Linked DNA regions of Caenorhabditis elegans. The protein of the gene in region 1 interacts with the protein of each later gene in a pairwise test. Each region holds a gene or a part of one and is shown in the gene's direction. Other genes may lie near its edges.

Evidence for each region. Proteins that work in one complex are often made in the same cells at the same time.
Region 2: the proteins of pfd-2 (region 1) and arp-1 interact in a two-hybrid assay, tested with the Caenorhabditis elegans proteins (one large-scale study listed by BioGRID).

What each region holds. Positions count from the first base shown.
Region 1 is NC_003280.10:4,325,059-4,328,797, forward strand, and holds pfd-2 (Prefoldin subunit 2), read left to right. Parts: upstream 1-1,661; coding exon 1,662-1,931; intron 1,932-2,931; coding exon 2,932-3,087; 3' UTR 3,088-3,226; downstream 3,227-3,739. Other genes in the region: mog-2 (putative U2 small nuclear ribonucleoprotein A'), read left to right, coding at 278-809. UniProt on the Caenorhabditis elegans protein: Binds specifically to cytosolic chaperonin (c-CPN) and transfers target proteins to it. Binds to nascent polypeptide chain and promotes folding in an environment in which there are many competing pathways for nonnative proteins.
Region 2 is NC_003280.10:15,118,361-15,123,896, forward strand, and holds arp-1 (Actin), read left to right. Parts: upstream 1-1,940; 5' UTR 1,941-1,948; coding exon 1,949-2,041; intron 2,042-2,116; coding exon 2,117-2,556; intron 2,557-3,322; coding exon 3,323-3,497; intron 3,498-3,547; coding exon 3,548-3,685; intron 3,686-4,424; coding exon 4,425-4,703; 3' UTR 4,704-4,985; downstream 4,986-5,536.

The sequences.
Region 1 (3,739 bases):
TTTTCCTGAAAAAGTTCGAAAAATTTTAAGCCATTTTTCGAAAAATCGAAGTTTTTTTCGGAAAGTAGGGGAAAAAATCGATTTTTCAGAAAATATCCTAAAATTTTGGTCATTTTCAAATTTTTAAAATACTTTCTCTAATTTATTCTTCAAAAATTTAAATTTTATGGTTACTATTTCCTGAAAAAAAATTAAAAACCCTCCATTTTTCATTGCAAAACTGCTTTTTTCCCACATTTTCGAGCTCCATTCCCACCAATTTACCCCATATTTTCAGCTATATCGCACCCGACATTGCCACAAAACTTCCAAATCTCAAAACTCTTGCACTGACCAACAACAACATTTGCGAGCTCGGAGACATTGAGCCACTGGCAGAATGCAAGAAGCTCGAGTACGTGACATTTATCGGAAATCCGATAACTCACAAGGACAATTATCGGATGTATATGATCTACAAGCTGCCGACGGTTCGAGTGATTGACTTCAATCGAGTCAGACTGACAGAACGTGAAGCTGCGAAGAAGATGTTCAAAGGAAAAAGTGGAAAGAAGGCGAGAGATGCGATTCAGAAGAGTGTTCATACAGAAGATCCATCAGAAATTGAACCAAATGAGAATAGTTCGGGTGGAGGTGCTCGGCTTACTGATGAAGATCGGGAGAAGATCAAGGAAGCGATCAAGAATGCCAAGTCACTCAGTGAAGTCAACTATCTTCAGTCGATTCTGGCATCGGGAAAGGTTCCGGAAAAGGGATGGAATCGTCAGATGGATCAGAATGGTGCCGATGGGGAAGCGATGGAGTCTTGAAAAATCTTGAAAATTGCAGAATGTGCTGCTAAAATTTATTTATTTATTTTATTTGATTTTTTTAATGTTAAAATGATACTCCTTGTTTTATTTATATTCTCATTTTTTTCCAATTTTTTCCCAGTCTGTCTTCCCTTTTTTTGTAATTTTTATATACCATAAAACAATATTTCCCCTATTATTTTTGATATTTTTATCGATTTTTCAAAGGTTCCCCGTGCCTTTTTATATTTGATTTTTTGAAATTTTTGCAACAAAAAGTTAGAAAAAAATCCTTTTTCAGCCATTTTTGTGTTTTCCGGCTATTTTTTATTATTTTATTAATTTTGAGAGGTTCCCACTGGGAACTTCCCAGCGCCTTCAAATATCTATTTGGAAAAAAAAGGTTTAAAAATTGGAAAAAACGCGGATTTTTTTTTGAATTCTCGCCTAAAATAATCCATTTTTTGTGTTTTTTTGTCATTTTTCCGCAAAAAAAAAACTTCAAAACCCTTAAAAAAATGCGTTAAAACTCTAAAATTACCCTAAAAATCGATAATTTTAGACTTTTTTTTTCACAAAAACTATCGATTTTTGGCTAATTTTAGAGTTTTCAACTTTTTTTGCTGAAAAATGACTGAAAATGTGACAATGAAAAACCGATAAAAAAAGCCGGAAAATACAAAAATGTAGAAAATCGGTGAGAAATTCAAAAATAAATCGGCTTTCACTAGTTTTTTTGCAAAATATTTTGAAAAATCTTTTTTTTTCAATTATAAAAATTTTTTTTGGTCAGTTTTGGCAAAAAAAACCAAAAAAAAACTGGCTCTCTACCATTAAAACAATTATTTTCAAAAAATCCACAACTTCCAGATGTCGGCCGCTCAAACCGCCGCCGCCACTCCAGCCGAGCAAGAAGAGCAACGAAAAGTCGTCGAAAAGTTCAAGGCTCTACGTGATCAACAACAGGATATCGCCGCCGAAGTGACTCGAATCGAAGAGGAACGACGTGAATTTGGACGTGTTCTCGAAGTGATCAAGGATCTTGAACCGGATCAGAAATGCTTCCGTTTGATTAGTGATACACTTGTCGAGTATACTGTCAAGGATGTTATTCCGGATTTGCAGAATAATATCGCTAATGTGAGGATTTGAAAGTCGGGAAAAATAGAAGAAAAGGCGGAGGAAACAGTCATGTGTCGATTTACGGAGTTTGTGTACTCCTCGTGGAGAAGATTTTACAGATTCCGGCTGAAATACCTGATTTTCGACCTTTTTTCTATATTTAACGCGTTTTAAATTGGGGATTTACAGTATTTCCGATGAAAATTGACAGTTTTTTGAAGCAAAAAAAAATATTTTTTCATCTGAAACACTGAATTTTCCGATTTGTTGCACCAAAAATACGGTATCTGGAAGCTATGCGCCTTCAAGGAGTACTGTAATTTGAAATTTGTGGAATTTATATTGATTTTCCGTAGTTTTTCGATAAAACACTTCAATTTTAACAAATCGAATGAAAAAATATAAACAAATCGATGGAAACTTTGCAAATTCGGGTACTCTTTAAAGGTGCGCAGCGTCATGTATTCGAAACAAATGTCGTGTCGAGATCAGACATCGTAGTTTTAGCGCAAAATTTCGCGTTTTTACACCTAAAAATTGAAAAAAAAAACCAGATTTTCCGTTTTTTTTATAGCGAAACCCCCAATTTGCGCTGGGAAATACTGTAAAAATACGATTTTAATATGGTTAAATACAAAAAATTGAAAAAAAAAACAGACTTCTCCTCGTGGAGTACACGAGCTGCGTAAATCGACACAAGACCATGATTTCACAGCCATTTTGCCATTTTTAATGCGAAAATTCATTGAAAATCAGTGTCAAAACATGGAAAATTAACGGTTTAATCTTAAAATAACAGTAATTTCAACGAAAATATTTGAGAAAACGGTCAAAAATGGTCTGAAAGTTGAATTTTGTTCAACTTTCAGGCAATTTTTGAGCTCTATCTTGGATATTTCGATTGAAAATAGTGTAATTTAAAGAGAAATCGAGTGATTTTCTATATTTTGTCACAAATTTTCAGCAGAAAAACATGGTGCAACTGACCAGAATTACCGAAAATAATAAAATTTTGCAGTTGACAATCGTCTCGAAGCAGCTCAACGATCAGCTCGTCGAAAAGGGAAAAGAGCTGAACACTCACAAAACTACACACAACATTCGTCTGCTCACTGAGAAAGAATCTGCCGAGCTGAGAAAAGCTGAAGCTCTTGGACAATTGCCAAAAGCTTAAATTTCCCCTGCTTTAATTTTTTTCTCGATTTCCTACTGCTTTTTCATGTTTTCATACGTTTTTTCTTACTCTGTTTGTTGCCTTTTTTCTATATGCTCCCGTTAAAAGAACTTAAGTCTTGCATAAATTGAATTTGAATTTTTTTTCGATTTTTAACTGCTTTATTATGGTTTTTGAAATCCAATTTTATCTTTTTTTTTTTGAAAAAAAAAACATTTTTTGGTTTAATAAGTTTTTTTTCCAAATTTCGATATTTTCCCCGTTATTCAACAAAATTCATCGATTTTTTCATCGTTTTCACATTTTCAGAATTTTTTTTCGAAAAAAACTGAAAAAGTAGCCTAAAACCGATAATTTAACATTCAATCATATTTTTTGCGAAAAAAATTGAAAAAAAAACTATTTTTCAAGTTTGTCATTTTTTGATTGATTACTAACTTAAAAAATGGTTTTTTTTTTCAAATTTTTTCCCATAAAAAGTATAATTTAATGTTAAACTATCGATTTTTAGGGTACTTTTACAGTTTTTTGAGAAAAAATGTCTGGAAAAATGGGAAACCATGTTTCAAATTATAAAAAACTGCAAAAAGTGAAGAAAAATCAATAAATTTAGTCAAAAAACTCAACAAAAAAAGTTTTAAAAATTCGAACT
Region 2 (5,536 bases), about 11 Mb from region 1:
TAGTATGCACTTCCGATATTTTTCATTAAACCCACCGCGGCAATGCAATTTCGAAGAGATCCACCACGAGTGTTCCCGTTTTCCAATAATGACTCCTTCAAAACGACGACAATTTGCATGTGGAGCGAGTGTTCTAAGGAATTCCAGGGATCTTCTGATTGCAAAAACTGTTTCCGGAGCTGAAATACATAACAAAATTATTTCAAATTCCCCTCGGTAAATATATGTATTCTTTTAAACAAGCTGAAACTCACCCTAGTCTTTCAGGACTTTCAATAAATAGAGTTCTTCGGACCACATCGACAACAGTCGGCCATTAACCAGTACGTCTGTTTTTCATTTCTCTCGCCAAAATTTTCATATGGTGCAATTGTAGTCGGAGTCTTGACAACAGATTGACAAACTTCTATGTGTCATGTAGATGTCCTCCTAAATTAAAAATTGTTAAAATGTGGCAGAAGACACATGCGCAATACCTCAAACATGTCATCACTCAATTCCGATCCAAACTACGATTATCTGATGTTTTCGTATCCATTGTCTTTATCAGAACTTCCTTTAGTCATGCGAGCTGGTACTTGTACTGGCGTGGTGGTCACTGAAAGTAAATGAAATTTCTGTCGGAATTTGTGAGAAAAAATGAAACATGTTTAACTTTGCAAAGCTACAAAAGATTATTTCGATAAACAGTTTTCAATTATGGAAAAAGAAACGAGCAGAAAATATGAAAGCAACAAGGATTTGAAAGCAGAAAACAATAAAAAAAAACTGTGCACCACAACGGTCTGCAGACAGCACTCTATTGTGAGAGACGCCGAGAGAGGGAGGAAGAGGGCCATGTTGCGCAGAGATCACAACACTGCGGGCACTGTGCCAAGTATCATTCCGGATGGGAGACGTGTGTGTGTGTGTGTAGTATAGACGACAAGATTAAAAAACAATGCAAGAGGCGTTTGTTTTTGTAGATCACACGTAGATCACAATGTATTTGTAGATAACAATAAAACAGAAATACGATTTGAGAGATAAATAAACTGTGATCTACGCAAAATTTACACAGAAACTGCTGAAAGTGATGACTACTGTATACGGTTCGAGAAACTTTCGAGAAACTTTCCCCAACAACTTTCTCCAACTTTGGACAACTTTCGGCGAAGAAATACAAGATAGGATATTCAAATGAATGAAAAATGTTTTTTGGTTTTATCAACTTACTTTTTGGTTCAGGTTTTTTTTTCTAGCAAGCCATTTTGTTTTCAAATGCTAATTTGTCTTGTATGTAGTTAATAAACTTCTATTTTCGGTGAACAAAATCTCGAAAACTTCATTTAAAACTTGAAATTCATCAATTCCCACTGCAAACTGCGTATCGGAATTCGGAGTCTCGTTTGGCCACGCCCACTTTGTTGTTTGAACTTCAATTTTGAAATTAACAGTTTAGAGCTCTAATTAGAGCTATATATTGCAAAATATTTCCAATGTTTTGGTGATTAAAAACTGTAACACATTTTAAATAAATATTTTTATGGAAAAATTTCCAAAAAAATCCATGAAAATTCCACAGCAACGGAAGTTTGAAATTACAGTACTCTTTAAAGGCGCGCGCGTAAGAGGATTGCTTTCTTTTTGCTCAGGTCCGCATCGAATCCTGTTGTAATATTTTGCCAGAAGTATAGGTGCATGTATTCTTATTATACTATTGGAAAATCAATAGTTTCCGATACTCTCGCTATGTATTTGTTCAGCCTCTGTCCTCCAAAGTACAAAACCCCCATTTCTCCGCGCAAATGATGCATTGTCCGCAAACACGGCGGCTGCAACTCTGCGTACATTTCGCAACTCTCATTTAATTTTGTTTCCACAGAAAATGCCAATTAATCCGGGGTTTTTTAATTGTTTCAAGCTCAAATTTTGGTTAAAACTGTTATTTTATCTTTCAGGTTACAAAATGGACTACGACGTCATCGCCAATCAGCCTGTGGTCATCGACAATGGCTCCGGAGTCATTAAGGCTGGTTTCGCCGGAGAACAGCAGCCAAAGGTAGGCAATAACGAATCAAAACTTGAGATTTTTGAATTTTGAATTTTAAATCATCTTTTAATTCATTTTTTACAGGTTCGCTTCGCCAACTTCGTCGGACGACCGAAATATCACAGAGTAATGGCCGGAGGGCTCGACGGAGACATTTTCATCGGACCAAAGGCCGAATCAAACCGCGGGTTGTTCTCAATCGAATACCCAATGGAACACGGAATCGTCAATAACTGGAGCGATATGGAAAAAATTTGGGAGTACATTTTCGGACAGGATCAGCTGAAAATCTTCCCAGAAGAGCATCCAGTTCTGCTCACCGACGCCCCATTGAATCCGTTGAAGAACCGCGAGCGATCTGCTGAGATCTTCTTCGAAACGTTCAATGTTCCAGCGTTATATATTCAAATGCAAGCTGTGCTATCGCTGTACGCCACCGGAAGAACGACCGGAGTCGTTTTGGATTCAGGAGACGGAGTCACACATGCTGTTCCGATTGTTAAGGGATTTGCAATGAAGCATGCGTCAGTAAACTCTGGGAAATTGCTTTAAAACACGCCTATGTGGTCACAATGACCGAATATCATGATAAAAAAATTCAAAAAAATTTTCTAGATTTTATATGATTTTTTTTTTTTGAAAGTTGCGAAAATCCCAGTTTTCCCCTAATTCCGGTTTGAATTTCCGCCATATGAATTCGTTCGCTGGAGCGCACTTGCATTTCATTTTATTTTTTCTCATTATTTCACTGGTTTTTCTTCATTCTTTGTGTATTTTTATCGGAATAAGAGAGAAAAATTCAAGATAAATTGCAAATTATTTATTTAAAAATCACTGAAAATGCGTAAAACTGTAAAATTATGAGTTCCGGCGATAGCAAACCTGAAATTAGCTTAGTTCACAGTTTCACCCATTTTCAGTGATTTTTAAATAAATAATTTGCAATTTATCTTGAATTTTTCTCTCTTTTTCCGATAAAAATACACAAAGAATGAAGAAAATCAGTGAAGTAATGAGAAAAAATGAAATAAAAATTTAAATTAATAAAAATAATGCAAGTGCGCTCCAGCGAACGAATTCAATTGGCGGAAATTCAAATAGGAATTAGGGGGGAAAACTGATATTTTTGCAATTTTCAAAAAATCATATAAAATCAGGAAAATTTTTTTGAATTTTTTAATCATGATATTCGGTCATTGTGACCACATAGGCGTGTTTTAAAGCAATTTCTCCATTGGGCGCACTCCACCTTTAAAAAAAGCATTTAATTCTAAAATTTCCTTTTTTCAGAATTCAACGAATGGATTTGGCGGGTCGCGATGTCACCGAATACCTCCGAGTCCTTCTGCGCAGAGAAGGATACGAGTTCCACAGGAGCAATGAGTTCGAAATTGTCCGAGAGATGAAGGAGAACGCGTGCTATTTGGCGTTGGATCCGACGAAAGTGGAGAATAATTCAGTGAAAGTAGTGATTTTTTTTGCAGTGAAAATGAGCTGAAAATCGCATTCTTTCAGTCATCCTACGCTCTGCCAGACACCACGAAAATCGAAATCTCCAACTCATTGTTCCGTGCGCCGGAAGTGCTCTTCAAGCCGGATTTGATCGGAACCGAGTGGCCTGGAATGGCACATGTTGTCAATCAATCAATTATGGTAGGCTCACAGCCTGCTCGGACGAAAAATCACTTTTTCAGACATTTTTGCTTAATTTTTGGTGGAATTTCGTTGGAAAATATTAATTGGCACATAATATTGCTATTTTAAGTGCACATTTTTCATCTTTTAGACTTTTTAACTTGATTTTTCGTTTTGGAAATGTTTTAGCTCTTAAAGTAGAACAAAAATCGAAATTTCTACAAGATTACCATATAAATATCAATTTTCTGTTGAATTTTACCCAAAAAATGCGAAATTTCTTTAAAACGAGCCTAGCCAAGTGATTTTATCGATTTTTATCTTATTTTCCACCGATTTTTCACGTTTTCAGTGTATTTTTACAGGAAGTTTGAAGAAAAGTCAAGAAAAATGCGAATTATCGATTAAAACTCAACATTGAAGGTTTACGCCTTCAACGCTGATTTTTAATTGATATTTCGCATTTTTCTTAACTTTTCCTTCGAATTTCCAGTAAAAAAATACTGAAAACATGAAAAATCGGTAGAAAATTAAAAAAAAAAATCGATAAAACCACTTGGCGCGAGGTTTAAATTTTTTAAAGCTATTTTTCAATTTTTAAAAATCATATAAAATTTAGAATTTTTTTTTCTATGATATTTAGCCACTGTGATATCAGAGGAATTTTTTTAAATAAATTTTCAGTTAAATTTTAGCCAAAAAATGCGGAATTTCTAAAAAAAAAAAACACCCATCAGCTCAAACTAAATATTTCCAGAAATGTGACGTGGATCTTCGACAAACTCTGTACAGCAACATCGTGCTGAGCGGTGGAACGACGTTGTTCAAAGGATTCGGCGATCGTTTGCTGGGAGAAATGCGAAAAATCGCGCCCGCTGACGGAAAAATTCGAATTTCCGCGTCGCAGGAACGAAATTCGCTCACATGGATCGGCGGTTCGATTGTCGCCAGTTTGGACACTTTCCGAAAAATGTGGCTCGGAAAGAAGGAGTACGAAGATATGGGAGCGTCGGCGATGCACAAGAGATTCTTCTAAATATTGAATTTTTTCCCTTTTTTGCTCACTTTTCATCGTAATTTATTTGTTTTTTTTGCATATTTTCCCCCTTTTTCTCCCTAATTTGTTCCATTTGGCGCTGGCTCAAAAATTCTTCAAAATTTTCTCAAAAATAGGCGACCTTCTTCAAAAAATGTTATATAGCCCGATTCTCTGGACATAATTATTCAATTTACCCCCTCCTCCCCCAGTTCCGTGTCCCACTATCTGCTTTATGCCTGTTTCAATTATTATTTTTTATATCTAAACGATTCGATTTTTATGGAATTCTTCAATGCAATTTATTACAGGTTCCCGGCAGCTCAATGGAGCCGCTGCGTCAGGCGGAAACTGTGCAATTTTAAGACATGAGGAAAATATTTTTAAAAAAAACTTTACGGAAATTTTCCGAATTGCCGATTTGCCGGAAATTTCAATTCCGGAAAATTTGCCGGAAATTTGCCGATTTGCCGGAAGTTTCAGTTCCGCAAATTTGCCGGAAATTTTCAATTCTGGAAATTTGTCGATTTGCCGAAAATTTCAATTCTGGAAGTTTGCCGATTTGCCGGAAATTTCAATTCTGCAAATTTGCCGATTTGCCGGAAAATTTCAATTCTGCAAATTTGCCGATTTGCCGGAAATTTCAATTCTGCAAATTTGCCGATTTGCCGGAAAATTTCAATTCCGGAAATTCGCCGATTTGCCGGAAAGTTCAATTCTGGAAGTTTGCCGATTTGCCGGAAATTTCAATTCTGCCAATTTGCCGGTAATTTCAATTCTGGAATTTTGCCAATTTGCCGATTTGCCGAAAATTTCAATTCTGGAAATTTGCC